Linked DNA regions of Pelodiscus sinensis. Each later gene encodes a partner of the first gene's protein in a complex. Links are inferred from orthologs where the notes say so. Each region holds a gene or a part of one and is shown on either strand. Other genes may lie near its edges.

Evidence for each region.
Region 2: the proteins of XKR8 (region 1) and BSG are in contact, whole or in part, in a cryo-EM structure (PDB 7DCE), measured with the Homo sapiens proteins. The link is inferred for Pelodiscus sinensis from reciprocal best matches to the Homo sapiens genes XKR8 and BSG. Residues at the interface, in NP_060523.2 of Homo sapiens: His232, Leu236, Val239, Leu242, Trp243, Leu246, Gln247, Arg280, Gly283, Arg284, Ile287, Phe291, Ser294, Asp295, Leu298, Ala301, Thr302; in NP_001719.2 of Homo sapiens: Trp326, Pro327, Gly330, Ile331, Glu334, Val335, Leu338, Val339, Ile341, Ile342, Phe343, Tyr345, Glu346, Lys350.

The regions. Positions count from the first base shown.
Region 1 is NC_134735.1:22,921,485-22,936,366, forward strand, and holds XKR8 (XK-related protein 8), read left to right. Parts: upstream 1-9,367; 5' UTR 9,368-9,507; coding exon 9,508-9,812; intron 9,813-11,337; coding exon 11,338-11,531; intron 11,532-12,559; coding exon 12,560-13,263; 3' UTR 13,264-13,982; downstream 13,983-14,882. Other genes in the region: SMPDL3B (acid sphingomyelinase-like phosphodiesterase 3b), read left to right, coding at 2,229-2,372, 3,172-3,344, 3,463-3,643, 4,249-4,382, 6,525-6,905.
Region 2 is NC_134729.1:15,823,291-15,837,419, forward strand, and holds the start of BSG (basigin), read left to right. Parts: upstream 1-8,820; 5' UTR 8,821-8,905; coding exon 8,906-8,981; intron 8,982-10,098; exon of another isoform or gene 10,099-10,713; coding exon of another isoform or gene 10,714-10,732; intron 10,733-14,129. Other genes in the region: basigin-like, read left to right, coding at 10,714-10,732.

The DNA.
Region 1 (14,882 bases):
GGGCTCCCCCCATGGCCCCCCAGAACAGCTCCTCACCAGGGGCTCCCCCATAGCCCCCCAGAACAGCTCCTCACCAGGGGCTCCCCCCATGGCCCTCCAGAACAGCTCCTCACCAGGGGCTCCCCCCATAGCCCTCCAGAACAGCTCCTCACCAGGGGCCTCCCCCCATGACCCCCCAGAACAGCTCCTCACCAGGGGCTCCCCCCATGGCCCCCCAGAATAGCTCCTCACCAGGGGCTCCCCCCATGGCCCTCCAGAACAGCTCCTCACCAGGGGCTCCCCCCATAGCCCTCCAGAACAGCTCCTCACCAGGGGCCTCCCCCCATGGCCCCCCAGAACAGCTCCTCACCAGGGGCTCCCCCCATGGCCCTCCAGAACAGCTCCTCACCAGGGGCTCCCCCCATAGCCCCCTAGAATAGCTCCTCACCAGGGGCTCCCCCATAGCCCTCCAGAACAGCTCCTCACCAGGGGCTCCCCCCATGGCCCTCCAGAACAGCTCCTCACCAGGGGCTCCCCCCATAGCCCCCCAGAACAGCTCCTCACCAGGGGCTCCCCCATAGCCCCCCAGAACAGCTCCTCACCAGGGGCTCCTCCCATGGCCCCCCTGGACAGCTCCTCACCAGGGGCCTCTCCCTATGGCCCCCCTAGACTGCTCCTCACCAGGGGCTCCCTCCATAGCCCCCCAGAACAGCTCCTCACCAGGGGCTCCCCCATAGCCCCCCAGAACATCTCCTCACCAGGGGCTCCTCCCATGGCCCCCCTGGACAGCTCCTCACCAGGGGCCTCTCCCTATGGCCCCCCTAGACTGCTCCTCACCAGGGGCTCCCCCATAGCCCCCCAGAACAGCTCCTCACCAGGGGCTCCCCCATAGCCCCCCAGAACAGCTCCTCACCAGGGGCTCCTCCCATGGCCCCCCTGGACAGCTCCTCACCAGGGGCCTCTCCCTATGGCCCCCCTAGACTGCTCCTCACCAGGGGCTCCCCCATAGCCCTCCAGAACAGCTCCTCACCAGGGGCTCCCCCATGGCCCTCCAGAACAGCTCCTCACCAGGGGCTCCCCCCATAGCCCCCTAGAATAGCTCCTCACCAGGGGCTCCTCCCATGGCCCCCCTGGACAGCTCCTCACCAGGGGCCTCTCCCTATGGCCCCCCTAGACTGCTCCTCACCAGGGGCTCCCCCATGGCCCTCCAGAACAGCTCCTCACCAGGGGCTCCCCCATAGCCCCCCCAGAACAGCTCCTCACCAGGGGCTCCCGCCATAGCCCCCCAGAACAGCTCCTCACCAGGGGCTTCCCCCCATGGCCCCCCTGGACAGCTCCTCACCAGGGGCACCCCCATAGCTCCCCAGAACAGCTCCTCACCAGGGGCTCCCCCATAGCCCCCCAGAACAGCTCCTCACCAGGGGCTCCCCCATAGCCCTCCAGAACAGCTCCTCACCAGGGGCTCCCCCCATGGCCCCCCAGAACAGCTCCTCACCAGGGGCTCCCCCCATGGCCCCCCAGAACAGCTCCTCACCAGGGGCTTCCCCCATAGCTCCCCAGAACAGCTCCTCACCAGGGGCTCCCCCCATTGCCCCCCTGGACAGCTCCTCACCAGGGGCTCCCCCTATGGCCCCCCAGAACAGCTCCTCACCAGGGGTTCCCCCCATGTGCCTCCTGGACAGCTCCTTACCAGGGGCTCCCCAGAACAGCTTCTCACCAGGGGCTCCCCCCATAGCTCCCCAGAACAGCTCCTCACCAGGGGCTCCCCCCATAACCCCCCAGAACAGCTCCTCACCAGGGGCTTCCCCCAACCCTCCCCAGCACTGCCTTTTCTTACTATAAATGGCTCCCCAGGTGCCGAGTTGAAGCAGTTCTCCACGTACTCCCCCTGAACAGCTGCTCCCCAACCACCGATCTACCCAATTCCTCCCTGGTCCCCACTGAAAGCCCCCAACTAGCCCTTCAGTGGGACTTGGTGACGCTTTGCCTGGGGTGGGGTTTCTGCCCAGTTTCACCACAGCCACGAGAGGGGACTTTGCCCCAAGCCCAGCTCTGGGCTCAAGGGGTCTGTCCGTAGTTCTTGGTGGTTTATTCCTAACCACTGGCCAGAACCAGCACGTTGGCTGAGAAGCAGCCAGTCGCCCCTGCACGGGAAGGCCCATGTCCTCTTGTCCTGCCCAGAGTCTCTGTCCTTTCCCTTGGCTCCAGGCACCAAACCAGCCTTCACGTGTCCTCTTGTTCTGCTCCAGACACTGCCGTCTACCCTGCCATAGGCAACCACGACTTCCACCCCAAGAACCAGCTCCCCCCAACGCCGCACCGGATCTACAACGCAACAGCCGAGCTGTGGCGCTCCTGGCTCAGCAATGCCTCCATCCCAACCTTCAGAGCAGGCATGTGCGGCTCCCTCCCTGGCCAGCCCCGGCTGTGGGACGGGTCGGACACGGTCCCCTCTACGGAGGGGCAGTTTGCGGCACATCTGAGGGAGAGGAAGGGCCCTCCCGATGGGCTGCCAACCCAGCTCCTCTCACCAGCCCACAGGCAGCTGCACAGGAGCCCAGGAACAGCGTGTCCTGGCCCTCCAGCTCGCCTGCTTTCTCAGCTGCGTAGAAGGGTGCCCCGACGGTGTCCCTTCGCGCAACCATCGGGCCTGGCCTGGAACGACTAGGAGGCTGTGGGACTCAAGGCCCAGCTCCAGGCCTGATTTGCACAGACCGTTGCTCCTCAGGGCCTCCCTAGCCCTGGTCCAACATGGCTACCCTGGGTCCGAGATTCCAGGAGGGACCATTGAGTGGATCTCGTCTGCCCTCCAGGGCAGCCCAGGCAGGCGGCCTGCCCTCACATAGCCCGGGAGGGTTGGGCCTTGTCTACACGGGCGTGCTCTGTCGCCAGCCCTTCCCAGCATAGCCCTCGCCTGGGTCAGACTCCCAGACAGGCACGGGGCAGAGGCTGGGCCCCTTGGGCTGCTTAGCCAACAAGCGCCCTGCCCACGCTGCGGCCGCAGGGCTGGGAGCAGCTCTGGCATGCTGAGGCAGGCAGGGCTCTCGGAAGCCTCTGAGTGGGCGACGTGCTGGCAGCTGCTGGCACCTTGCCCAGGCCAGCATCCCTGGGCAGCTGAGCCAGTGGCGGTAACAGAGGGGGTGGGAGAGGTGTTGTCCCTTCAGGCCTCTCTCCTGCTGGCTGGGTTTGCAGGTGCTTTCTACAGTGAGAAGCTGCGCGGTCCCAATACCAAGGGACAAATGATTGTCCTCAACACCAACCTGTACTATGAGAGCAACAGTCAGACGGCGGGTGTGGAGGACCCCGGCGGGCAGTTCCAGTGGCTGGAGGACGTGCTGACCTCCGCAGCGAAGGCAGGAGAAATGGTAAAACGGTTTCCTTCCTCCTGGAAGCAGCTTCTGCCGCTGAGCTGCTCCTCCCTGTGCAAAGCCTGCAGCGCAGCCTCTGCAGGCCGCCTGACAGCCCGGCTCCTTTCTGCGGCAGGTCTACATCGTGGGGCACGTCCCGCCCGGCTTCTTCGAGAAGAAGCGGCACAAAGCCTGGTTCCGGGAGCACTTTAACAGGCGCTATGTCGAGATCGTGCAGCGGCACCACGGAGCAATAGCTGCCCAGTTCTTTGGGCACCATCACACTGACAGCTTTCGGCTCTTTTACAGCCATGGCGGTACCGTGCCACAGCGTGGGCTGAGCCCTGGCTGCAGGGCATCCCATTGGTCCTGCATCACATGTCCTGAAATGCCATGGGGTGGATTGGCCCCATCTGGTCTAGCCAACACTACATCGGGGCCCTTGGCGGAAAGCCATGGGCACCAGGAGGTGGCAAGCCCCTAGCAGGCCTGTGTGACTGGCAAATCCTCCTGCCTCCCAGCACTGTACACTGCCCCACGGCTGCTGGTGCCCGTCATCCGGGCATCTGGCCCCACCTACGGAGGCCCTGGGGGATAGCAGCACAGAGCATGCAGCGCTCGGAGTGGGAGCCACGGGGCACATGCGGCTGTTGCAGCCTGTTTTCTTGCTGCAGAGTTGTGCTTTTAGGTGGGAGGTCCCAATCCCACCCTGGTGTCTGCCAGGATGGTGTTGCTGTGCCTGTGCGCTGGTGGCTGTCATAAGGTGACTGATGCCCACGTGCCGGTGGCTGTCGTTGGGCGACTGACGTGTTGCAAGCCAAGTGGCTTAGGCAGCGTCACAGGCTGCCTGCCAAGCACAAGGCTTGTAGTTGGATTGGGCCAGGCTGTGACTCAGGCAGGCTCCATTTGCCTTCCCATGCAGGTTCCCCCATCAGTGCCATGTTTCTAGCGCCAGGCGTGACCCCCTGGAAGACCACGCTGCCTGGCGTGCACAATGGCGCCAACAACCCTGGCATCCGGGTCTTTGACTACGACCGAGGCTCCCTGCAAGTGAAGGTGAGCCCCCCCCCACGGCATGGTCTGTCCCTTGGGGCACAGCAGCTGCAGCCGGCGTTGCTCCAATAACTAACCGACAGCTCCGGGGAGAGACAGGCAAAGTACTCCAGAGCCACTGTGCACGTGCAGGGCGGAGGGCAGAAAATTCAGGGCCATGTGGGTGTCAAGAGGCTGCTGGAGTCGGAGCCCCCAGGACAGGGCAGGATTGCGCCCCTTGGTCTGTTCTCCAGGCCTTTCCCTGGCTTGTATAACGAGCCCAAGCAATGGGCCTTCCAGCCCTTCCGTTCAGGAAAGAAAGCCCTGACAGGAGCCCCCAGGCGAGATTCTTGCTCTGGTGCAGAACGTGGCATGTTCCGAACAGGACCTGTGCTGACAGGCAGGCGGCTGGGGCGCTTGAAAGACTAACAGACGGGTTAGGGCAGAAGCTCTCATGCGATACACACTAGGATGTTAAGGGCTAGTTGATTCCCCCCCCTCTTGCTGCCTGTCAGATAGAGGCAGCAAACGGGGAAGAGCGGGCGCTGCCCCTTTGAAATGCTGCCTCGGGTGCTCTTGTACATTTCAGAGGAGGAATGCGGAAGTGCCTATCGACTAGTAAATTACTTGTTAGTTAACATCCTTAATATAAACCCCTTCCTCAGACGCTTGGGGAGGAGAAGCAGGGACCAGAGCTGGGAGCGGGACCGCAGTGCTAGCTGAATGAGAGGGGAGGTGGCTCATCTCAAAGGCTACATCTACACTGGCCAGTCTTGCGCAAGAACAGATGCAAATGAGGCACAACGATGAATCATTTGCATACTTAATGAGCTGCCATTTTGTGCAAGGAGCAGTCTACACTGCTCCTTCCTGCGCAAACCCCCCTCTTGCACAAGAGCCGTTCTGCCTCCAATAAGCCAGTATAGACGGAGCCCAACAGTGAGGAGACGGAGAGAGGACCTGCAGGGGAAACTGCCTAGTGTGATGAGAGCCATTCCATGCCTCTGTTTAAACTGCTTTGGACGGCATCACAAGGGCCTTGAATTGCAGCTCAGCCGTGTCTCTCTGCGTCTGGTGTGCAGTTGTTTTGCACGTCAGGAATGGTGTGGCCAGGCAGGTTAACGTGCTCCCCACATTGTCCATTCACTCTGTTGAGCGGAGACAGGCAGGTCTGTCCAACGTGAATGGCAGAGGGGCACTGCTGGTGCATGATGGCACAGTCGTAGATGTGCAGGTGAATGAGCTGATGTGGTCAGGCCCTGTGACGGTGTCACCAGAGCTGGCGATGGGGTTTTCGTGGGGCGAGGTTTCTGTTGCGAGAGGTGTGATTGGTGGTATGTCTGGTATGGGGGGCTGTCTGTTAGCGAGACCCGGCCTGCAGGAGCGAGGGATTGTCATGTGTACAGGCCCTGCGCCTGATGGGAACAGGGAATAGCAGGGTTATAACGGGGCTCTGCCGCAGTCTCTCTGCCACCTGAAAAGGCCAAACGTGTGCGCGGCAGCAGTAACGAGGACCCGAGGATCATTGTAAGCTCCTGTTTGTTCCATTCAACATCTCTCTGCCCCGAGGACACTCTGGATGGCTGGGAGCAGGAGGAGGAGAGGGGAGTGGCGCAGAGCAGCAGGGTTTTAACAGGATGTGTGCAGCTCTGCTGTGGCTTTGATCTGGGAACACATGGTGACTGCTGGGCACGGAGCAGTCATCCCTCAGGGCTCTTGCTTACATAAAGCTGAGCCCTCCCCACAGCCCAGAGCTCCGTGGCAGCTCAAGTGCTCGGTTCCTTCGCCACCCTGCAGAGAGGCGCAAAGCAGCCTGGCCAAGCTCCTTTAGAGCTGCCCCTGCAAGAGCCATTGAACCGGGGCCCAAGTAACAGCCCTGTGCACATGGCCTGCTAGCTGAGGGATAAAGTCCCCCGCGTGATGGGCAAGCCTCCAAGTGGAGCCCCCAGCCAGCCAGAACTGCTCCAGCAGAGCGGGTCAGGGCCAGTGAGGCACCTGGGCAGCGGCTGCTTCTGCCTGTCGGGGTAGGACTGGTGGAAGTGCCCCACCTCAGCACCAGTGTCAGGAAGCTGCTGAGACCCAGCCCTGGCCGGGGGGTCATTTCCAGGGCAGTTCCTGTGCTTGTTTGCCCTCTTAACCCCCTTTGGTCTTCTCTCTCTTGCGCAGGACATGGTGACTTATTACGTGAACCTCACTCATGCTAACCTGGCAGGCCCCAGCTGGGAGAAGGAGTATCGGCTGACTGAGGCCTTCCAGGTGCCCGACGGGTCAGCCCGCTCCATGCACATGGTGCTGGAGAAGCTGTCACAGGACAAGCAGTACCTGCAGCAGTACTATCGCTTCAACTCCGTGCAGTACGACCTCAGCGAGTGCGACGGGAGCTGCCGCACCGACCATCTCTGTGCTATCCGGGAAGTGGATTTTACTCAATATGAGGAATGTGCTAAAGCCGGAAGCTTCCCTGCTGTATCTGCTCTGCCAGCAACCCCCGTTTTCTTCCTCGGTGTGCTGCTCAGCCTTCTCCCTTCCCAGGGGCCTCTCTGGTGACCCTGACAGGTTCGTCCCGTGCAAACCGAGCATCCTGCACCTGAGTCAACACCAGCCAATGCCTCCGGGGCTGGAATTTGCTCCGGAAGAAGGTGACGTGTTTTTATGGCAGGGGTTTTATGGCTCGGCTTTGTCTCTTTCCAATAAAGAGGATTGGCTGTCTTGCCTCGTGTCTTCTAACTAAGAAGGCGGGTGGGAATTTGTGTCCACCCCACGTGACATGGGGGGGGGGGGGTTCTTCTTGCGTTGCAGAGTCGTTATCTCAGCCTGCTAACAAATGTGGAACTGCACCCACCTTGGCACTTGGTTTTCTAGCCCACGCATGGTAACTTGAATAAGAACTTGCCTTTTTTCCTAGTGCCAATGCACCACAGGGGCTGAATGAGCAGGGGATGGCGCCGGGGGCAGCTGGCATGGTGGTGCGGCATAAGCCAGGACAGCTGGGCACTGTTAGCCTGCCAATGGCTGGGCGGGGGGGCAGCAGCTAGAGCTCGTTATGCTTAAATGAAGCACACGAGATCTTTTATGGGGGAAGGCAGGACGCCGCATTTATTGAAAATACAACAGTTGCGTACGCTTTTCAATCACACACACGCTCACAAAACATCATGCATACATCATTCTGCCAAATGGTATCATAGTTACCAGTCCAGAGTCTGTGTCAATCTAGTGGCCAGCTAGATCAAACACAGGGGGAGCAGGGCCTTTTGTCGGTCGCCATCCGATGCTCCTCTCGGGATGGTGTCTTGGCAAGACGAAACCCAAAGTTCCATAGCAAAGCACCCTGCTTTATATATTCCTTCTTCTCTGCTAAAATCCATGGATCCTGCTGTCAGCTTGGGACTGGAATGTTATCTTTTTGATGTGAGTGTTCCCAAAACATCTCGCGAAGGTTCATCCTGTAACCAATCGTCCTTTCGGGGTGCTTGCTCCACTTTAAGGCTCGTCAATCTGCTAATTATCCAATCTTCTTGTGAGTAGGGGGTACGCATTGATGGTCATAGATGACTCCTCTGCAGTCAGGTTGGCTCATCTTCGGTCCTTTGCCCGCACTCGCTCAACCCCCTCCTTTGACCACCTGGTTCTAAAGCCGTAGAACTTTGCATCTTATCTTAACACATTCACACTCCTACATACACAACTCTCCGGGGTTACAGATCTGCATGGCAAAGCAAAAGCGTTGTAAATTAAACCATTCAGGCTTGGCCTTCAACATTCGCAGAATTCCTCTAATCTTATTAACGCAGCCACAATACCCAGAACTGGTTTTCTACTTCAGAGTAAAGAAAATAGACCTTCATAGAGCGGGAAGAGACCTCGGAAGGTCAAGTCCAGCCCCCTGCTCTAGGCAGGACCAATCCCGACTAAATCAGCCCGGCCAGGGCTTGTCAAGCCGGGACTTAAACTGTCAACTGAAAGGACTTGATGACACGGACGTGGCCATACACGGGCCTCTTATTGCTGCGCTACTGTCACTAGAACAAGAACTAGAAGAATAAAACGCTCAACCCGAAGGCTCTGGGCCTTCAGCCGCCCATGCCAGGGCCCGGAAGGGCTGGGGAAGCCGAGGCCCCAGTCCCAGCCCTTGCCCCGAGGCCCCGCAAAGTCTCTTGGCCTCCCTCTGCGAACTGACCGTGGGGCTCCTCGGCTCAGGGTCCGCAGAAAGGGCCCCGGGGAGCCCCGCTGGCTGAGCGCCCGGGCCCCCCAGGAGCAGCGGCCCCGGCGGTGCCAGGCTCGGGGAGGGGCCGGGCAGCCTCGCTCCAGCCCGTCCCCGCGGGGCGCCCGGGCCCGGTTCCTGCTCTTGCAGCCCCACGTGGGGCTCGTTCCCGCCCGCGCCAAACCGGCCCGCCGGGCGCCGCCACCACGTCACGCCCCGGGCCCGGGATCCCAGCGGGGGCGGGGGCGGGGCCGGGGGAAGCCCAGCGGGGCGGGGCCCTGCCCCGGGGCTCGCCGCGCCCATCCCGGAACCGCCCGCGGCCGGCGAAGTTCGCTGGGGGGTTCTGCGGGGCCGGGAGCGCTCGGGGCAAGGATCGCGGAGAGGCCCCGGGGGGGCGGGGGCGGGGGCGCAGGAGGAAGCGGGAGAAGTGCGGGGGGGTAGAGGGGCAGGAGGGCGAAGGGGGGCAGGAGGGAGCGGGGGGAGTGCGGGGTAAAGGGGCAGGAGGGCGAAGGGGGGCAGGAGGGAGCTGGGGGAGTGCGGGGTAAAGGGGCAGGAGGGCGAAGGGGGGCAGGAGGGAGCTGGGGGAGTGTGGGGTAAAGGGGCAGGAGGGAGCGGGGGGTAAAGGGGCAGGAGGGCGAAGGGGGGCAGGAGGGAGCGGGGGGAGTGCGGGGTAAAGGGGCAGGAGGGCGAAGGGGGGCAGGAGGGAGCTGGGGGAGTGTGGGGTAAAGGGGCAGGAGGGAGCGGGGGGTAAAGGGGCAGGAGGGCGAAGGGGGGCAGGAGGGAGCGGGGGGAGTGTGGGGTAAAGGGGCAGGAGGGAGCGGGGGGTAAAGGGGCAGGAGGGAGCAGGGGGCGAAGGGGCGGGGAGGTCTCTGGCGAGGGGTCCCCGGGGGCTGGTGCAGCAGGCAGAGGGTGGGTGGCGCGGTGCCATCAGGGTCCCTTTGTGCCATGGCAGGCTCGGGCCATGGCGCTTACTCCCCCCCCCGGTACCGCTACCTGGACCTGCTCTTCGCCCTGCTGGGCACGGCTGCCTTCCTGGCAGACTTGGTGGCTGATCTGTGGGTGGCCTCCAGCTACCTGCAGGCTGGGCACTGCCTGTGGGGGGGCCTGGTGCTGCTGCTGCTGGGCCTCTCCTCCCTGGCCGTGCAGTTCTTCAGCTGGGCCTGGTTCCACACAGACCCCGGGGAGCAGGACCTGCCCAGTGACCGCTGCCGGGACGTGCTGCACCTCCTCCAGCTGGGCTACCTCTACAGGTAAGGGGGCCCCTCTGCTGAGCTCTTGCAGCCCAGGCGAGTTCTGCTGGTGACAGAGCCGGTGCCTCCGGGGGTGGAATCTGCCCCCGTGGGAGCATCCTCACGAGGTGCTGCAGCTGCCCCTGCGCCGATGCAGCACTCGGGTAGCTGGGCCCTCGCGTGCGCTGCTGCAGCAGTGTCAGTCCAGGGCGGGTCCAGCAAATCACCCAGCGCAGACATGGCTGCACACGGGAGCGTTAGCCAGGCAGGGGGACTGGTGCAAGCGTCAGGAGCCATTGCTGGGTAGCTGTGCTGTCAGCAAACCTGTCTGCTGGGACTAGGCCGACGTGAGCCACGCTCAGCTCCCGTGAGCCCAGGGCTGGCTGCTCTGGTGTGGTCCAGTGGTGATTCAGCTAACCGGGCTGTTTGCTGGGGCTGAGGAGCCCGAAGCTGCCCTACCCCTCTTATCCATTCCAGCTATTTCCCCTAAAATACACCCCCTTGGCCGGCTGGCTTTGCCCTGCTGGGAGTAGTCGTGCTGGGAGTGCTAGTGTAGACGGGACTCGGAGGACCCCTTCCTGCCTGTCGGGAGATAAACACGGGAAGACGTTGCCTGTGGGATCTCCCTCTCTGGGGATATTGAAGAGCAGGTTGGACGCCTGGCAGGGTTGGTCTCCATGGTGCCGCGAGGGCAGGGACGGGACTCGCTGCCTCTTGAGGTCTCTTCCAGCCCTGGTGCTCTAGGATTCTGTGATTCTTTTGCCTAGGCCTGTGGCTGCCCCCGTAGACTCAGTGCTGTGGCCGGAGGCTGCAGGCAGGTCAGTGCTGCACTGAGCTCACGTGGCCCTGTCCCTCCCCAGCACCGTGTCTGGCAGCACCTTGGGGAGCGTTTTGTTCATTCTCTGCCCAGGGCTCGGACGCACATGGCTGAGGGGCCCAGGGCCAGGCTGCCACCTGGGTGGGAAAAGCAGACGTCACTTCTGCATTGGAACTGAGTTGGTTAATCGCCTTTGCTGGTCGCCATGTCAGCCGATTGCCTGGGGTGCACTTTGCTCAGCTGGGACTAGAAAGTAACATGCCACTTTCGCTCTTGGTTCTGGGCCAGGGCCAGCGGATTTGAGGTGCCCTGTGCTCTAGCGCCAGGGTCTCAAACACGTAGGGAACGTGAAATCCAGAGCAAAAGTCGTTTTCGTTGAAACTGGGGGGGAAATGACCCCTGGATTTCTCCCTCCTGATGGATTATACCCCAAACCTGGGCGGGGGAGAAGTGATTTGACAAGAGAGAGATCTCACCCTGTGGTGAGCCCTGGCATTAGCAGGCGCTCGGTAGGGCCCGTGTCAGGAGAGCTGGCTGGTCATGTGGGGAGCTGCCAGGGACAGGCAGGTAAATGGGATCTCCCTGGACCTGAGAGACTAGACCAAGCAGGCTGTGGGGGGCAGGCTGGCTCTGGAATCCCCCCGCCCCCGTGACAGATGGACGGACGGCACTGTGTCTGTGTGGCCTGGCGCGGAGCCTCCTCACGGCAAGGCTGCGATGTCTGCGCAGGTGTCTCCACGTGTTGAGAGTGGGCTGGCGCGTGTGCCGGCAGGAGGCTGCCCCGAAGGAGCGACACTACGCTGTCTTCCTGTCCCACGACATCAGCATGCTGCGCCTCTTCGAGACCTTCCTGGAGAGCGCGCCCCAGCTCACGCTCGCTGTGGCCATCGTTCTGCACACCAACAAGCTGGAGCCGTTCCAGGGTGAGTGGCGCAGCCCCGGCGGCGGGGGCAGGGCAGCAGGATGAGGGAACAATCCCTGGAGCTCCTGCAGCTCCGGGTTCTGAAGGATACAAGAGCCGGGCCTAGTTCTGGAGCCCGGCGGTGGCAGCGGGGCCTGCAGCCTGCCCTCAGCTCTGTGCTAGTGGCCCCAGCCCTGAGCCTTAGCTCAGAGCTGGGTGGTGAGGCTCGAGGGACTGGCTGCCTCACGCTCACGTTGGCTCTGCACCCGGGCCAGCCCCTGCAGGGTGTGCTGCAAGGAGGGTCTTGCTGAGGAAAGCCTGGTTGCAGGTACTGAGGTGCCCTCTGGGCTGCTTCCCAGCACCTTTGAGAAGAGGGGCAGGGCTGGGATGTGGGGGGCAGGGAAAATCACCCAGACCCAGGGCTGGAGGGTGGGGGAAGCAGGGCCCTGCCCCGAGGAAGGGGGTGTTGGGCCCATGGAGCGGTGCGCGCAGGCGGGTATGGGGGTGGCACCGCCCTGCATCTGGGCACCTGTGGGGCAGTGCCCTCCAAGAGGGATTGGCTCTTGGAGCTTCCCAGGGGGCCATAAATCTGGGCCAACCCCGAGCCCCCAGCTCCTGTTCCACTGGCTCCGGCAGGCCAGGGTTCCCTGGGCGTTTGGGTCCGGGCGGACGGGAGGAGCTGGGCCCAGGAAGCAGCAGGGCACCACTGGCCGAGGCCTTGGAGGCTTGTCACCGTGGCCCAGGCCCTAAGGAGATGGCTGTTCACCCTCCCAGCTCCACGGTGCCCGCCCTGCCTGTGGCTCTTGGCACCCAGGCCCTGCCGTTCTCTGGCGCTGCCTGTGGGGTGGGGCGCGGCTCAGGGCTGGGCACTGCCTACGCGTCTCTGGGGCTTCCTCCAGCACAAGTGGGGCAGGCGAACAGGAACGGCGGAGACAGACCCTCTGGCTGGGCGGCTGGCCAGGGCCCTTGGGAGCTGGGGGCTGGGTTCCTTGCGCCAGGCCCTGATGCCGCGGGAGTGAAGCCAGCACCTCTCCCCACTGTCCCCCGCAGGGCTTGGGATTTGCACAGCCTCCCTGTGCGTGGCGTGGGCGCTGCTGGATTATCACCAGTGCCTCCGCTCCTTCCTGTTGGACAAGTCGGAGCTGGACCAGCGCTCCTCCGCGCTCTACTTCCTGTGGAACTTCCTGCTGCTCTGCCCCCGCATCCTGGTGCTCGCGCTCTTCGCCACGCTCTTCCCGCGCTACGTGGGCCTGCACTTCCTGGGGGTCTGGGCAGCCTTTCTGCTCTGGGTCTGGCTGCAGGGCACGGACTTCATGGAGTGCCCCAGGCGGGAGTGGCTCTACAGGGCCACCGTGGCCGTGATTCTGTATTTCTGCTGGTTCAACGTGGCCGAGGGGCAGACGCGGCACCGCAGCGCCATCTATTACAGCTTCCTCCTGGTGGACAGCGTGCTGCTGGCTGGCTCCTGGCTCTGGTATGACGCCCTCTTGCCTGAGCGCGCCTACCTGCTCCCCATGCTGCCTGCTGCCCTGGCCTGCTTTGTGCTGGGGCTACTACTGAGACTCACCTACTACGGATGGTTCCACCCCACGCTGCGGGCCCGGCCTAGCCAGGACGTGGTGGATGGTACTGAAGGGGAAGGAGGGGACCAGCGAGAAGAGCTAGCCGACGATGCCGTGGGTTTCCGAGCTGGCGCGGCGCCGGCCCTTGTGAACAGACGGATGCACCAGCTGTGCCAGAACCACTTCTCGTGATCTGTGCTGGCTGGGCGAAGCTGGGAGAACGGCGTCCAGGCCAACAGGCGTCTTGGAGGGATTCTCAGCTCCGGGCTCTGAGCCGGGGACCCCGTTCCAGTCTGGCCCAGCCAGCTCAGTGCCTGCCCTGCGTCCGAGCACCGCAGCCCTGGAACAGGCAGCGGGGCCAGGGCGGAGAGTGGAGGGGGCAGGCCGGGAGCACTGGCATGTGGGGTCCTACAGGTGGCACCCAGCACGGGGAGCTGAGAGTCCTATTTCAGGCTGCGCTCACTGCAGGGAGTGTCATGAGAGCTGGATCTGAGCGGGCCCCTGCCCTGGATCCGCTGCACTGCAGCTAACTCCTTCCTTGCTCCTCCGACTTCAGGTCTGCAGGGCCCAGGCCCTGCCCCATCTCCCTGCCAGGCCCAGCCTGCGCTGCTCCAGCGGCATGAAGTGGGAACCTCCCGGCCCTGGTGCACAGCCCCTGCAGCGTTGCCATTTGCATGTGATTTCTCAGACCACTCGGGTTTTGTTGCTACATTCGGCGTTTCCCTGGTGGTAGGGGATGGCCATGGCACCGCAGGGGCCGCTGGGAAGGGTCAGTTCACTATTGGTCGAAAGGGATAAAAATGGTGGTAAATAACGTAAAACGGGTTTGTGTCTGAGACCCGGCTTCTAGTTCAGCACTTCCCCCAGGGGACAGATGGGTAAGCAGGTGAGAATTGGAGTGGGGGAGGGGAGAGGAGAATTCAGGGGGTGGGGGAGGGGAATGGCAAGAATTCAGGGGGTGGGGGAAGGGAGGGAAATGGGGAGAATTCGGGGTCGGGGAGGGGACCGGGGAGAATTCAGGGGGTGGGGGAGGGGAATGGCAAGAATTCAGGGGGTGGGGGAAGGGAGGGGACTGGGGAGAATTCAGGGGGTGGGGTAGGGGAATGGCAAGAATTCAGGGGGTGGGGGAGGGGAGGGAAATGGGGAGAATTCAGGGTCGGGGAGGGGACCGGGGAGAATTCAGGGGGTGGGGGAAGGGAGGGGACCGGGGAGAATTCGGGGTCGGGGAGGGGACCGGGGAGAATTCAGGGGGTGGGGGAGGGGAATGGCAAGAATTCAGGGGGTGGGGGAAGGGAGGGAAATGGGGAGAATTCGGGGTGGGGGAGGGAACGCGCCGCTCACCAACCCTTTGCCTTTTTCGAACAAAGCTCCACTAATTGATGTCCCCACCCTCCCCCCCGGACTAGAGCCTGGCTGTGCTCAGGCCCGGCCTAGGGCCAGGAGCTGCACCGGGCTTTAGTCCAGTTGGTTCGGTTTCCAAGATGCTCCAAAATCCTGTCTCAACTGGCTTCTCACGCCCTTCCCCACTGAGTCTGATCTGCCACGAGCCAATCGGCCCTGGCTGCCTGTGAGACCAGCCCTCCCCGAGTGAACGTCCAGAGCCCCCCTCCGGCCACATTGCAAATGCCAAGGAGCGAGGAGCCTGCTGCAGCCAGGGCCACCCCTCCTCTGCTCAGAGGTAGCAGGCTTGAGCCAGTATGTCAGGAAATGGCGACTCGCTATTATTCCATAAGTCACTTTTTTGCTCATTTGTGTGAAGCTGCCTGAGCGTGGTAACTGGAATTGGACACTAGAATTTATTTTTATTAAAC
Region 2 (14,129 bases), on another chromosome or scaffold:
GCGGTCCAGGGCCAGCCCCGGAGGTTGGAGGTGCCGTGGCCACGTGGTGAGGCAGCAGCGCCTCCAGCTTCCAGGGCCGGCCCCGGACCACGTGGCCAAGGCGCCGCTGAGGAGCCTCGGCCCCTGCACTGCCTCCTCCCAGCGCAGCTTCACCTGCTGCAGGCGAGAGCGCTCTCCAGCGGCTGCGTGGGGGCGAGGGGCGGAGCTGAGCTCCTTCGCCCACGGCCACGGCACAGGTGCCACAGGATGGGCACGCCCACTGGGGGCAGGGCCTGGAAATGCCTTGTGGGCGGGATCAAAGCCCTAGATGGGCCGGGTCTGGCCCACTAAGAAGCTTTTGCCCGTCCCTGCCAGGTGTCTGTCTAACCTGCTCTGAAATATCCCGTGACGGGGATTCCACAACCCCCCGGGCAGTTTAGTCCCGTGTTTCACCCCTGACAGGAAGTTTTTCCTAAAGTCCAACCTCAGCCCCACTGGCTGCAGTTTCAGCCCCTTGCTTCTTGTCCTGCCCTCAGAGCCAAGGGGAACAATTTGTCTCCCTCCTCCCTGTGACACCCTTTTAGACACTTGAAAACCGCTCTCACGTCCCCTCTGTCTTCTCTCTTCTAAGCTACATAAGCCCAGTTCCTTCAGCCTTTCCTCCTAGCTCATGTTCTCTAGACCTTGCATCATCCTTGTTGCTCTTCTGCAGCCCTTCTCCAATTTCTCCACATCTTTCCTGAAATGTGGTGCCCAGACCTGGACACAAGGCTCCAATTGAGGCCTCATCAGCGCAGAGAAGAGTGGAAGAATGACTTCTGTCTCGTTCACAACGCTCCTGTTAATGCAACCACTGTCAATCACCGCTGGGTCGGCTCAGCTCGGCCTGCCCCTGTGTGTCGGCCATTGCTTCTACAATGACAGTGCCTAGGAGCCCTGGCTCATGGACCGTGGCCCCGCAGTGCGAGGGGTTGTACAAACAGACCCAGAAGACGATCCCTGCTCTTGTTTTTCAGAGATCCTTTACAAAAAAACCAGGTCCCGTTTGCTATGAAGGGGCACCGGACCCTACATTTCCTCTCACACGGGCAGGGGCCTTGATCTGGACTTTTCACTAGGAGCTGTACAGCTGGCTCCTGCATGCCACCCCAAAGGTGGCTGCATTTCAGCTGTGTGCTGCATGTGTATTGTCTGTGAAACTCTAGAATCCTTCCGGAGGGACGGATGGACGCTGTCCTGTCCTGTGAGCCTTTAGTTCGGTGAGAAATAGATAATCCAATTCCTAAACGCTTGAGGGGGAGGTTCAGAAAGTCATGCATCAAAACCACAAAATAGCAGCGAAGAAATGGGAAACTGAGGCACGTAGTTTGGTTGTAAAATGCTTGGAGATCTGCCCTTGAAATGCTCAAGAATTATCTTGTTTTTCTTTCCCTTGGTCATTCTTTCTTCGCCCACCTCATGAAAGGTGGATTGAGACTGGGATGCCTTCTCAGCTGGGATTTTTTCTTGCTTTATTTTTACAGACGTTATCTTATGAATTTTTAAAAACTTCTATCCAGAATCTTTGCAAATATCCAGGTTTCGAGACCTATTATTAACTTTTCTCTCTCTCCACATCTAGTTCAGCCACAGTTCTAGAGACATTGGGTCGCCCACTCCCAGGATTTTACCATGGGCCACACTAGGGCTACAGCTACACTGGAGCCTTCTTCTGGAAAAGCTTATGCAAATGAAGTGTGGCGTGGAATATTGCTGCGCTTCATTTGCATAATTCATTAGTAGACGCTTTGGCACAAAAAGGAGCTGTGTAGACCGCTTCTTTTTGCGCAAAAACCCCTTTTTGCACAAGAGCCATTCTTCCTCATTTTTTCACAGCTCTTTTTTGTGCAAAAGCAGTTGCTAATTAATTATGCAAATGAAGCGTGGTGATATTCCACGTCACGCTTCATTTGCATAAGCTTTTCTAGAAGAAGGCTACAGTGTAGCCGTAGCGTGTGTGTGTTGTGGGGTTTCCCTTAAAGCCTCAGCCCCTAGGAATCATGTGTCTCAGGCTAGGTCCACACCAGAGGGGTTTTTTTGGAAAAAGCTACACAATTGTGCTTGGCAATTTGCGAAGCTTTTTCCAGTTGCTTTTCCAGAAGAGGCTTTTCCGCCATTTGGCCCACTCTAGACAGGGCCAAATGGTGGAAAACCCTCCTCTTGCAGCGAAGCTCTTCTCTCTCATAGAACGAGGCACACAGGACTCCCCGAAAGAGCGTTTGCTCTTCTGCAAAAAAAAAGTGAAAGTGCAAACATGTTCCTTGGATGCGGTGGGTTTTCTGGGATTCCTCTGGTGCCCCTGCAGTGTAGACGTACTCTCCGTGAGAATCTTGGCCTTTCTTTTTTGAAAAGTAGGATTCTAACTGAGCTGGGCAGATTTTTCGATGGAACTCGTTTCTGTTGGCAAAAGCTGGTGTGAATGAATTCAAAATATGGTGGCATCATCTTGGGATTTTTTTTGGTTCTGAAAGTCTCAAAAGGAAATTATAAAAGCAATTCTTCTGATGAGGCTGAAATGTTTCATTTAGTCTTCTAATTTAAATATGGAAGTCAGACACATGTTTTGACCTCGGCTACATGTTCTGGAATGCTCTGTGTCATGACACATTCAGCACTTCTACTTAGACCCAAGGCAGGATGAAATGAAATTGGAAAATCTCAGAATTTCACATAGGATGCAATTTTTGGTTTGTTTAAAACCAGTTCCAGTTTCTAAGGCTCGTGGTAAGAGAGAAAGGCCTAAAACATAACCGTGAGGACACCCCAACACTGGAAGGCAAAGGAAAAGACCCCGGCTTCGATTGTTTTTTAAGATCTCATGATTTTATCGTGGCTTGACTCTCAACAGTTGAACTCAAGGGCCAACTGCTGTAGCATGTTCCTGTCAAACCCAGGAGTTGAGTCTCAGGAAATACAACCAGGGAGCAGACCGATGCTTCCCATATCCTGCCCCCGCCGGGGTCTGCTTCAGCGGAAAGTTAACGCCTCTCCTCAGATAATGCACCTGGCTGTGTGCTTGGTGGGATAACCACGCTGACAGGGGGGCTACATCCGTCCTGATCCTGCCCTCTGGCTGCAGAAACAACGTGAACTTCCCAGGGTGGTGGGAATGAGATCAATTGACCTAAACCCAAGGGATGGCTTCAGACTTTGAAGTCAACTTGCTCCTGCCTTTTACTTTGTTATGTGGCCAGTGCATTGTTCTCTTCGCTGCCTCTACTCTCCCCACCAGAGTGCTCCCTCCCCCCTCCCCGGTTTAAATATTCTCTCCTGGGCAGACAGATAATGCCAAGACCAGAGCAGCTCTGAGGACCAAGGAAAGGGTCGCTGAGGAAGTGGAGGAATGAGAATGATCTGAAAGACAAGCATCCTTCACTGCACTGAAAGCCCCTAGCTCTTCAATGAGCCCATCATCACACTGGTATAATTAGCTTATCTGAGGGCATGGCTACCTAAGGCAGCGTGTAGCAGGTTTAAAACTAATAAAAGAGAGTTCTTCTTTACACAGCGCATAGTCAACCTGTGGAACTCCTTGCTGGGGGAGGCTGTGAAGGCTGGAACTATAATAGAGTTTAAAGAGAAGCTAGATAAAAAGCTTTATGGAGGTTAGGTCCATAAAAGGCTATTAGCCAGGGGATAAAATGGTGTCCCTGGCCTCTGTTTGTCAGAGGCTGGAGAGGGATGGCAGGAGACAAATCGCTTGATCATTGTCTTCGGTCCACCCTCTCTGGGGCACCTGGTGCTGGCCACTGTTGGCAGACAGGCTACTGGGCTAGATGGACCTTTGGTCTGACCCAGTACGGCCGTTCTTATGTTCTCATGTGTAGCAACAAGGCCGTCTCGACACTGTCATGTTAAAATGAAGGTCACCATGTGGGAACACCTGGGCTGAGAAAGGGTAACCAGGTCACCAGTAAGATCACCCTACGCAGGGGATTCTTACGGGTTCCGGTTAACCGATACCTGGTGGGGGCTAGGAGCTGGGCCTGCTGCCGACAAGGGCTGCTCTGGTGGCGGCTGGGAGCCTGGAGCAGCCCTCCCCAGATCCTGCTTAGCTGGTTAACCAATTAAACATGAGGAGAGCGCTGCTCCCCGAGGCCCAGCAGGTTAGCTAAGAGCATTCCAGCTACTGGGCTGGATGGACCTTTGGGCTGGCCCCGTACGGCCGTTAACCCAACACTTGCCCGGTTAACTGATTAACTGGGACGTTACGTCCCTGGGGAATGCTGGTGCTGATCAAATACTTCCACCCCCTACAAGGGGGGGCTCGCTTTACCGGCATTCCCACGCGCATTCACCGCCCAGGGCTGCCTGTCAAGCAGCGGCGACTGGATCAAGTGCCAGTGTCGCGCTGCCCTTGCTTCTCGCGTCCCTCGCCTGCCAAGGAACTCGAATGTGCATGTTGCTTTTTATAGCCCACACTCCCTGGGGCAGAGTTCTCAAGCTGGGCTGGCTCTGCTCCCCGATGCCCAGCTGGTTAGCCGTGTGCGGTCAGGCGGTGCCCAAGTGCCTGAGGAAGAGTCGGGGCTGGATTCTCTAAGGACACGATCTAGTGTGGCTTCCAGGCGATCTTCTGATGCCAGTGGGGTGCCCCAGGGGAAAAGACCGGGCACGGAGCATGGCTGAGAAACGCGTTCAGGGCCGCGCCCATCTCTTAAAGCCTCTTCTTGAGGGGACGAGGCACACGCTGACCTAGGAGCCAGCCATAAAAACGAAAGTTTAACACGTGTCTGTAGGAGACACCGCTGGAGATGACATGCAAAGGAGTCGGACTTGTTGTTGACCTGGGATACCAGATCCCCAGGCATGAGACTTTTGGGGAGAGGCAGGATAGTGGGGGGGGGGGGGAATTAGCCGTTAATGGGAGGTTTTTCCTGCTGCAAACCAGACCTTGTATTCTAACAGCTTTGCCTTTAACATGGCATGACTGGTCCTGATCCCGCATGTGCCCCTCCCAACGACCACAAACCCTGCAGGTTCCAGACTTTGCTATACAAGAATCTCCTCTCTCCCTGCCAGGGGCGACCAGTGCCTGCAGGGGGGAAGGGGTGGAAGGAGGACCGCCCAAGGGGCCGGGACATGTGGGGGCACCCCATTTAGCCATTAAAATGAGGGTGGGGATATACGGGTGAAGTGCACCTCCGGCATGCTCCCTTGCTCCCTTCCCCCACCAAAACGCAGCCACTTCTGGGATCAAAGACAAGAGGGACTGCCCAGAGCTACTTACAGAGCAGGCCAGCTAGCAGAGGATAAAAAGCAAAGCGCCAGAGCAGCTGTTAGGAGCCAAGGTGCTGGCTCCAGAACTCTTGTTCCGCCTTTTTGGCTGATCTTGATCCAATTAATATTCAGCATCAGTATGGGGAGGACAGTGTTGCTGGCAGTGATGAATGGAAAAAAACAGGAGGAGGCAGAAACATTGTAATGGGCACGAGCTGGAATTTGGCTGGAATGCGAATCTGTAAGGAGGCCTAGGAAGCGTGTGGTGTCTGCAAACACAGACCCGGCCAAAGTCCAGTGACATGGAGCACCAGCCTCTATACCTAGCTTTACTTGGGTTTTGACCTGGGGAGGGGGCGGGGGTTGTTTTTAAGGCTATTACAGCAACCTCTCCCCACCCAGCCGTGGCTGGTGCAGACACTGTCACAGTGGAGGTTGTATCTGTCTGATCTCCTTCTCAACCGCCCACAGAATCCATGTGGCTTCCCATAGGATTTTTACAGTAACAGCTAAGCACTGCTGAGGCAACCCCCACTAGGAACCCATCCTGGCCTGCCACAAGCAACATCCTAGCTATGGATCACGTGGTCTTCCACCTCGAGCAACCAGCAATTAAAGTGGCAGTGCGTTCCAGACTTCTGTAGGCAGTAAAACAGAACAAACCAAGGCCATAGAGGGATCCCTCAGTAAATACATGGTGCACGGAGGGTGTGGGGAGGGAAAGAATAGGTCTTCTCCCAGGAGCTGGTGGCTGATCAGCAAGAGGAACAATTGCTGCTGCTGCTCTGGAGCATCTGAAATGCTTTGTCATTCAACTTAAAGACAGTTGGAATTTTTGGCACTGAGCCTACTGGAGAAGATGAGGTTAGTCTCACTCTGACAGACTCCATCCCTGGGCCACTCGCTGTGTTATCCATCTGCTTAGCTGCCCTGACTTGCTCAGCCCCATGCACGCTGGCAGCAGGAGCGGCTCGAGGAGAGCTGCCGGCATCTGGCGCCCTGGGCGGAATGCGCGATTGGCGCCCCCGCTTCCATAGCCCTCAATGGCGTGATGTCATCATTGGGCGCCGCGTAAAATGCAACTGCTGAGGTTGCTTACATCCACAGGCCGCCCCTGGCTGGCAGCAATTGACAGAATAAACGCTGGGGTGGAGGCTGATAGTCTGGCTTTAAAAATGGCAGGTGTAGTGGGGCTGGAAATCTTGAAACCACACACAAATCCTTCTCACACAAAACACAGGACTGTGTAGCACTTTACAGACTAACAAGATGGTTTAATAGGTGATGAGCTTTCGTGGGCCAGACCCACTTCCTCAGATCAAATAGTGGAAGAAAATAGTCACAGCCATATATACCAAAGGAGACAATTAAAAAAATGAACACCTATGAAAAGGACAAATCACATTTCAGAACAGAAGGAGGATGGAGGGGGGAGGGAAGGGAGGGAGGTAAATGTCTGTGAGCTAATGGTATTAGAGGTGATAATTGGGGAAGCTATCTTTGTAATGGGTAAGATAATTAGCATCTTTATTCCTTCTATGTGTCTTTTAATTCAAAGCTGGTTTTCTGGGTTGGAACAAAGGGCGAGTACCCGGCTTCAACAGGCCTTGTTACACAGAAAGCTGATGGTGCTTTTGCTTTCCTCAAGTTTACTGCCTTTCTGAGGTGTGTGATTACTAAAATAAACACTCTCTAACATCCCAGATGGAAAAGCAATGCAGGAGTGCCTTTGTCAGGGCGTTCCTGGAGAAAGATGGCAATCTTGCTCCTTCATGTATTGCTGGTGTCACTTTCAGACCCTGGGGGTAGAGTGTTTCCAAACCAAAGCAGAGCCTCTCTTGAAGGGATTCTTCATTCCTATTATTAAAACAGACAAGGGAAGGTACAAAAATGAAATGATCAGAGTTGAGAACAGCTCCTGGATTTTAAGCCCCCTTGCTGTATATGCCTGATGAATGGATCACTGCCCAAGAATCCATCCAATAAGCAAGTCTGGAGCTAAGGGCTGTACTGTGTACTTTATTGCCAGGGCCAGCCCACAACATTTTGGCACCTGAGGCAGGGAGCTCAAATGACGCCCCCAGGCCCCCTTGCTTGGGCCAAAACTTTGAAAGGTCTCAATTCTGCCTCCTTCCTGTTCTACTCCTCTCATGGAACTGCTCTGCTACCTACCCCAATAAAGGAGAACTAACAACTTAAAATGCCTTGTTCAAAAAGTGTGAACTAGTGGTGTCCCTCCCCACCCCCAGTCTGACACCTGAGGCTGCTGCTTCGGGTGTTGCCTCATGGTAAGGCCAGCACTGTTTATTGCAGCAGTGAAGTGTAGGAAGTATTGTGTATAGTGAGCTGGAGGAGGGACAGCAGGACTCCTGCAGTTTTCTTAATCTGCACCCAGCTCTGCTGATGATTTGCTGTGCGACCTCAGGCAATGTACTGACTACTCTGTGCCTCAGTTCCCCTTTCTATAACACAGGGACATTGTGCCTCAAAAGCATCACAGAAGATTTGGGATGCCTTCTTCATTCAATGTCGGCAAAGTGGCATGAGACTGCCAGTGCGAAGGGAACCAGTGATCTGCTACACTGAGTGCCTGAGGAGGTCAAGCTATAGGCTCCCCATTGCCAAGGCACCAAATGTATTTCCACGCCACCCCTGCCCTCAGCTTCACGCCCCCTTGCTAGCTGCTGCCTGAAAGGGGAAGCACAGAGCTGCCCCTTTGGCAGGGAACTTCTCCCAGGGGTTCGGAGGAATGGCTCCACTAGTCCCAGAGGGGCTGGGTGTCCTACAGCAGAAACTGACCAGGAAGGCCAGTCTCTGCTCTCCCCCCACATGTTCTGTCTGGCTCATCCGCAGCAGGGGATGGAGGCCGTGCTGCGTGGAGTCCTGAGTCAGCCTCGTTAGGGGCCTTGCTGTGACTTGAGCTGCCTCTAAGTGATTTGGGGCAGGGGCAGACAGGCCCAGACATGGGTGTCTGCTCTTTCCCTGCCCCCCCCAAAATCCTTGTTCCCTCTGCCCTTCCCCCCACCTGCCTCAACCCCCTCCCTCCTATACCCTTCCCCCCCCACCCTTCCCCCCCTTGGTACTCCTCCCTTCCTGCCCCCCCTTGGTAGCCCTCCCCCCACTGCCCTTCCCCCCACCTGCCTCAACCCCCTCCCTCCTATACCCTTCCCCCCCACCCTTCCCCCCCTTGGTACTCCTCCCTTCCTGCCCCCCCTTGGTAGCCCTCCCCCCACTGCCCTTCCCCCCACCAGCCTCAACCCTCTCCCTCTCCCCTTCCCCCCTTGGTACCCCTCCTATACCCTCCCCCCACGCCCTGCCTCCTCATTTGCATAGTCCCCCTCTCTCGTGCGCACACGCGCACGTGACTTTCCTCGCTCAGCTCGGCCCCGACCTGCGCCCCGAGGACACGACCCTGCGGGTCACATGTCCCCTCCCGGATTCCGTCCTTCCCCGCCGTCGAAGGTCAGTGGGCGGGGCGCTGCCTCGATCTGGCCCGGCGAGCTCCGGTCGCCAGGAGGGGCGGGGCGCTTTGTGGGCCCCGCCCAGTCCGCGGCGCTCTGATTGGCCGCCGTGGGGCGCGCAAGGGCGGGGCGGGGCCGGGCGCGAGGTGACTTGGCTCGGCGGCGGCGCGCGCCGGCTCTTGGCGGGTTAGCGGCAGCGAGCGGCGACCATGGGGGCGCGCGGGGCCGGGGCGCTGGTGCTGCTGGGCGCGCTGCTGGGCGCCGTGACGGGCGCCTCCGCCGCAGGTAGGGCCGGGACCCGGGGCGCTGCAGCGGGCTGGGCCCTCTCGGGGCGGGGGGGGGGGCCGGGCCTGTGGGGGGGGCCCTCTCGGGGCGGGGGGGGGGGCCGGGCCTGTGGGGGGGGCCCTCTCGGGGCGGGGGGGGGGGCCGGGCCTGTGGGGGGGGCCCTCTCGGGGCGGGGGGGGGGGCCGGGCCTGTGGGGGGGCCCTCTCGGGGCGGGGGGGGGGGCCGGGCCTGTGGGGGGGCCCTCTCGGGGCGGGGGGGGGGCCGGGCCTGTGGGGGGGGCCCTCTCGGGGCGGGGGGGGGGCCGGGCCTGTGGGGGGGGCCCTCTCGGGGCGGGGGGGGGGGCCGGGCCTGTGGGGGGGGCCCTCTCGGGGCGGGGGGGGGCCGGGCCTGTGGGGGGGCCCTCTCGGGACGGGGGGGGGGCCGGGCCTGTGGGGGGGGCCCTCTCGGGACGGGGGGGGGCCGGGCCTGTGGGGGGGGGCCCTCTCGGGACGGGGGGGGCCTCTCGGGACGGGGGGGGGCCGGGCCTGTGGGGGGGGGCCCTCTCGGGACGGGGGGGGCCTCTCGGGACGGGGGGGGGGCCGGGCCTGTGGGGGGGGGGGCCGGGCCTGTGGGGGCCCTCTCTCGGGACGGGGGGGGGGCCGGGCCTGTGGGGGGGGGGCCGGGCCTGTGGGGGCCCTCTCTCGGGACGGAGGGGGGGCCGGGCCTGTGGGGGGGGGGCCGGGCCTGTGGGGGCCCTCTCTCGGGACGGAGGGGGGGCCGGGCCTGTGGGGGGGGGGCCGGGCCTGTGGGGGCCCTCTCTCGGGACGGAGGGGGGGCCGGGCCTGTGGGGGGGGGGCGGGCCTGTGGGGGCTCTCTCTCGGGACGGAGGGGGGGCCGGGCCTGTGGGGGCCCTCTCTCGGGACGGAGGGGGGGCCGGGCCTGTGGGGGGGGGCCGGGCCTGTGGGGGCCCCCTCTCGGGACGGAGGTGGGGCCGGGCCTGTGGGGGGGGGGCCCCTCTCGGGACGGGGGGGGGCCGGGCCTGTGGGGGGGGGGGCCCCTCTCGGGACAGGGGGGGATCTTCCTGTGGGGCGTCCCATGGGGTGGGCTCATGGGGGACCCTGCAGCGGGAGGGGGGAGAGTCTGAGGCCCAGCAGGGTTGGGGGGGCCCAGGGCTCTGCCGGGGACCCCCTGGTGCGGGGGGCCTGGGGCTGCTCTGGGGGCCGCAGGCTTCAGCGACTCCTCTCCTTGGTAGGGTGCGGTGGGAGGTGGGGGGGTGTCTGGGGCAGGGCCGGTGGGAACAGAGGGAGCCCTCCTGGGGCATGGCCCATGCAGTCCCTGGGTGAGGGACCTGGAGGAGCGGAATGGGGGAGGTGCAGCTGGGTGTTGCATGTGTCCAGGGGGCACCGATGTATGTGGGACTGTTCCTTACCTCCACCCCAGGGGGTGGGGTGTGTCCAAGCACAGGGAGATCTGGGGTGGGTATCCTCTTTCCCTGAGAGCGTGTGCCACCATTTCCCAGGATAAGAGGGTGATGGTGGGATTAAGAATGTGGAGGAGACTGGCTCTGGGCTGAAGGAGTGTGGGGAGGCAGAGGTGCATAATTCCTCCAGGGTGAGCTCTCCATCTGCAGACTGTCCCCACAGTAAGCTGTGAAGGAAATCCTAGATGGGCTGGGTAGTTATGTTCCGCTCACTCCAGACATGCTATAAGCCATTTCTCAGCCTCCCCCTGGGGACCATGAGTCTGCTTGCAGATGGAAACTCCATTAAAAGGTTCGTCTCTAATTAGCATTTTCTGTTTTTAATGTGAAGCTGGTTTGACACTCACATTTCTGTGTGTATGTTCATGTGTGTGTGTGTGTGTGTATAAAGCAATCAATAAAGAATGAAAACTAAGGTGGCTCTTACCAATCTAGTTATCAGAGCATGAGTTCATCATCTCACAAGGTCTGTCAGTACTAACTAATTTGCAGGCTTCAAAAAATGTGCATATAGGGCTTCAGTTGGTAATCTGCTAATGGAGGAACAGTGCTGCCCTATGTATTTCTTAGGTGTTCGTAATGTACCAGTAGTACCTCGAAACTCCTGTGTGGTGGCCATTTCGAAGATGTGCAACAGCATGGTCTTTGGGCATGGACAGAAATATGACTGCAAATGAACCAGGATTTGGCATTCCCTGAAGCTTTGTGACATTTCAGTTTCCCCACCTTCTGTGCTGTTCTCAAAGAAGCCTGCTGGATTTATTTACACAGGGCTATGGGTGTGCCTTAGGCCATAGGGAATCTGAGAAAACAAATAAGACCCAGGACTCTAATTCAATCCTAATACTTGCTCAGAGCAGTGGGATGTCCTCTGCAGTTATTGGGTCTTGCCCTATTTCGAGTTGTGTAGCGGTGGGTGGGATCTTTGTGGTTTTTCTGAGTCATATTTGGTACCTCATGAAAACTCAGAGGAGGCAAGTACACGAGGGAGAGAAATGCATGGATAGTAATAAAATGGCTCTTGCCTAGGAGCAAACTGCATCTTGTTTATACAGCAGGATTAAAGACAGAAAATGGCATTTGTTTGTCCCCCACAAGTCTTTCCTATCCAGAGGACTGTGACACACTATTCAACAAATTAAATTGGAACTTGTATTCCTCCCTTCCCTTGCTGTATGCATCTGTAGTGAGCTTGCATTCTTCTAGAAAAGCCTGACACTAACCCTCCATTTTAATACTGTGCACTGCTTCTCAAAATTAAGCTAGTCTGTCGTCCAAGTGCAGTATGTCACGGCTAATGTTTGTGCTGTATGTAAAAGCCTCACTTCCCATGTGAGGCTTCAGAAATCGGACTTGAGACACAATCCCCCCCCTTCCAAACAAAGCAGTAGGTTTTGGCTAGTGTATAGCCTCTCTCCTGCAGATGAATTTGTGCTTTGAAACACATGAAAAACAATGGCCTGGCAAGCCACAGGGCTATCTAAGCAACTTGTGGGAACATTCCCAGTTGGCCCCCTGTAGTCACACGTCTGTCCTTTGGTCAGTTTACATCTGGCTTTTGATGCCAATGTTGTTCTATGATGTAGTTTGTCAGGCATTGGTCTTACTGTAAATTTGTTAGCCTACTATTAAGCTTTGTCTGGGCAGCTGTTTTTGTTTTGTTTTTGCTTAAACAGAGGGGTCTCTGTACATGCCACTTTCCTTCCTTCCTTTGTCAAAGCTGCTTGCTGAAGATAACATCTTTACATCAGGAAGGCATTGAGGGGGACTCCTTAATAAACCATTCAGTTCTGCAGTGCCCCCTTAGCTATGGTGGGTTTCTGCAATGATGTGGATTTTCCTGAGCTTTGTGTTTTCAACTCCTTTCCCAAGGAATGAAATTGCAGTGTCTCATGTGTTAGGGTGCTGGCGCTAGGCAAAGCCCTGGAAAAAATCATGTTGGGTAGTTCTGGCCATCGTTTGGGCAGCTCAGTAGCTTGTTGCTCTGAGAACTGTGTGGTATGTCAGTATAGTTATATCCTGGCTTCTTTTATTAGGACTTCAAAGGTTACAGAGTGACTCTGGTTTGAAACAAAACCTTTAAATGGATCTCAGCAGCCTTCCTCTTATGGCTTGATTCCGTTAATGGGACTGAGATGAAAAATCCTTAATGTTAAAGCAGCTAATATAGAAATGCCTTACATGCTGGTTTATACTGATGAGTGCGTAGGTAAGAGAAGTGACTTGAAATCCTTGGGTCTAACATTGATTCTCTCAAAAATGGTCAAAAATGATCTTGATTTCATTGAGGACATGGATTTAGCTTCTCTTACAAATTCCAGTAGTACATCTTGGCAAATGGTTACAAGCTATTTTCTTCTTCTCCCTATTCAGTTCCTTTTTTGATTCTGTATGAATAGCTCTTTCCCCCTTACCTTATTGAATACAACTAAGCTTTAAACATTTTGCAAGTGTGTTAACTTTTTTAAAAAAGTGTTGGATACTGTACTGATGACAATATCTGGCTTTTCCAACCAGCCTTTTTCCCCCATCTTTTCCCTCCTTTTTTGCTGTGATAAACCCACATATAGACAAATAAAGGGTGTATCAAATACACCAAGCAAGGCTTTGTCTACACCAGAGGTCTCTAACCTTTTTAAGCACAAGATCACTTTTTGAATTTGTCAGTCCAGGATCTACCTCAAACCCAAATACCCCTGTTCCCGCCACTTCTCCGAGGTCCCACCTTCCTCACACTGTCCCCCATCTTCAGAGTGACATCAGTGCCCCCCTACCTCTCTCCCACCCTGCACAGCATGCAGGAGGCTCCCAGGGGGCAGCTCTGAGATTCTGGGCAGGAGCAGCAGGGAGAGGCAGTTGAAGTGCTAGCACTTGATAGCCTTCAGAGCCAAACCTGTCAGAATCTCTTGTCAGAGGCTCCAAGGTCTGGTTGGTGACCACTGGTCTACACCAGTGGTCCCCAACCTTTTGGGGCTGCCGGGCGCCTGGGGGCGGGGCTGCACACGCACCCGGGGGCAGGGCCACCCATAGGCTGCGTGCCCAGTGCCGGTGCCACCCATGCGCTGCATTCCCGGGGCCGGTGCTGCACGCCCAGGAGCCGGCATCACCCATGCGTTGTGCGCCTGGGGCTGGCACTGCTCTTGTGCTGTGTGCCCGGGGCGGGGACGCCCATACACCGTGTGCTCGGGGTCAGCACAGCCCATGCACTGCGCACCCAGGGGCGGGGCTGGCCCCGATCACTCGGCGGGCGCACAGAAATGGCCCGGCGGGCGCCATGGCACCTGCGGGCACTGTTGGGGACCACTGGTCTACACTGTACCCTACAGCTTTTAGCGACATTGCCCTGTTGTCACAGCCATGTTGCTAAAAGTGGGGCAGTGTAGTCTAGCTTCCGCATGAGCGATGTTTGCATTGACAGTTGATCCCTGCAAATCTTTGTCTTTGGGGTGGGGGTGAGGAAGGGTTAGCATTTCTGAATGACAAAAGTTTTGTTGCTGATTGCCATTGTAAACACAGCCTAAAGAAAATGAGGGTGGAAGGAGAAGCTGATGTGGTTGAGATGGTGCTTGGTCCTGCCATGAATGCAGGGAACTGGACTTGATGACTGTCCTAAAGGGTCCCTCCAGTTCTGTGTTTTTTCCTCTCTAATCTCTTCATCATGGGTAACATGGTCTTAAAACAGATTTAGA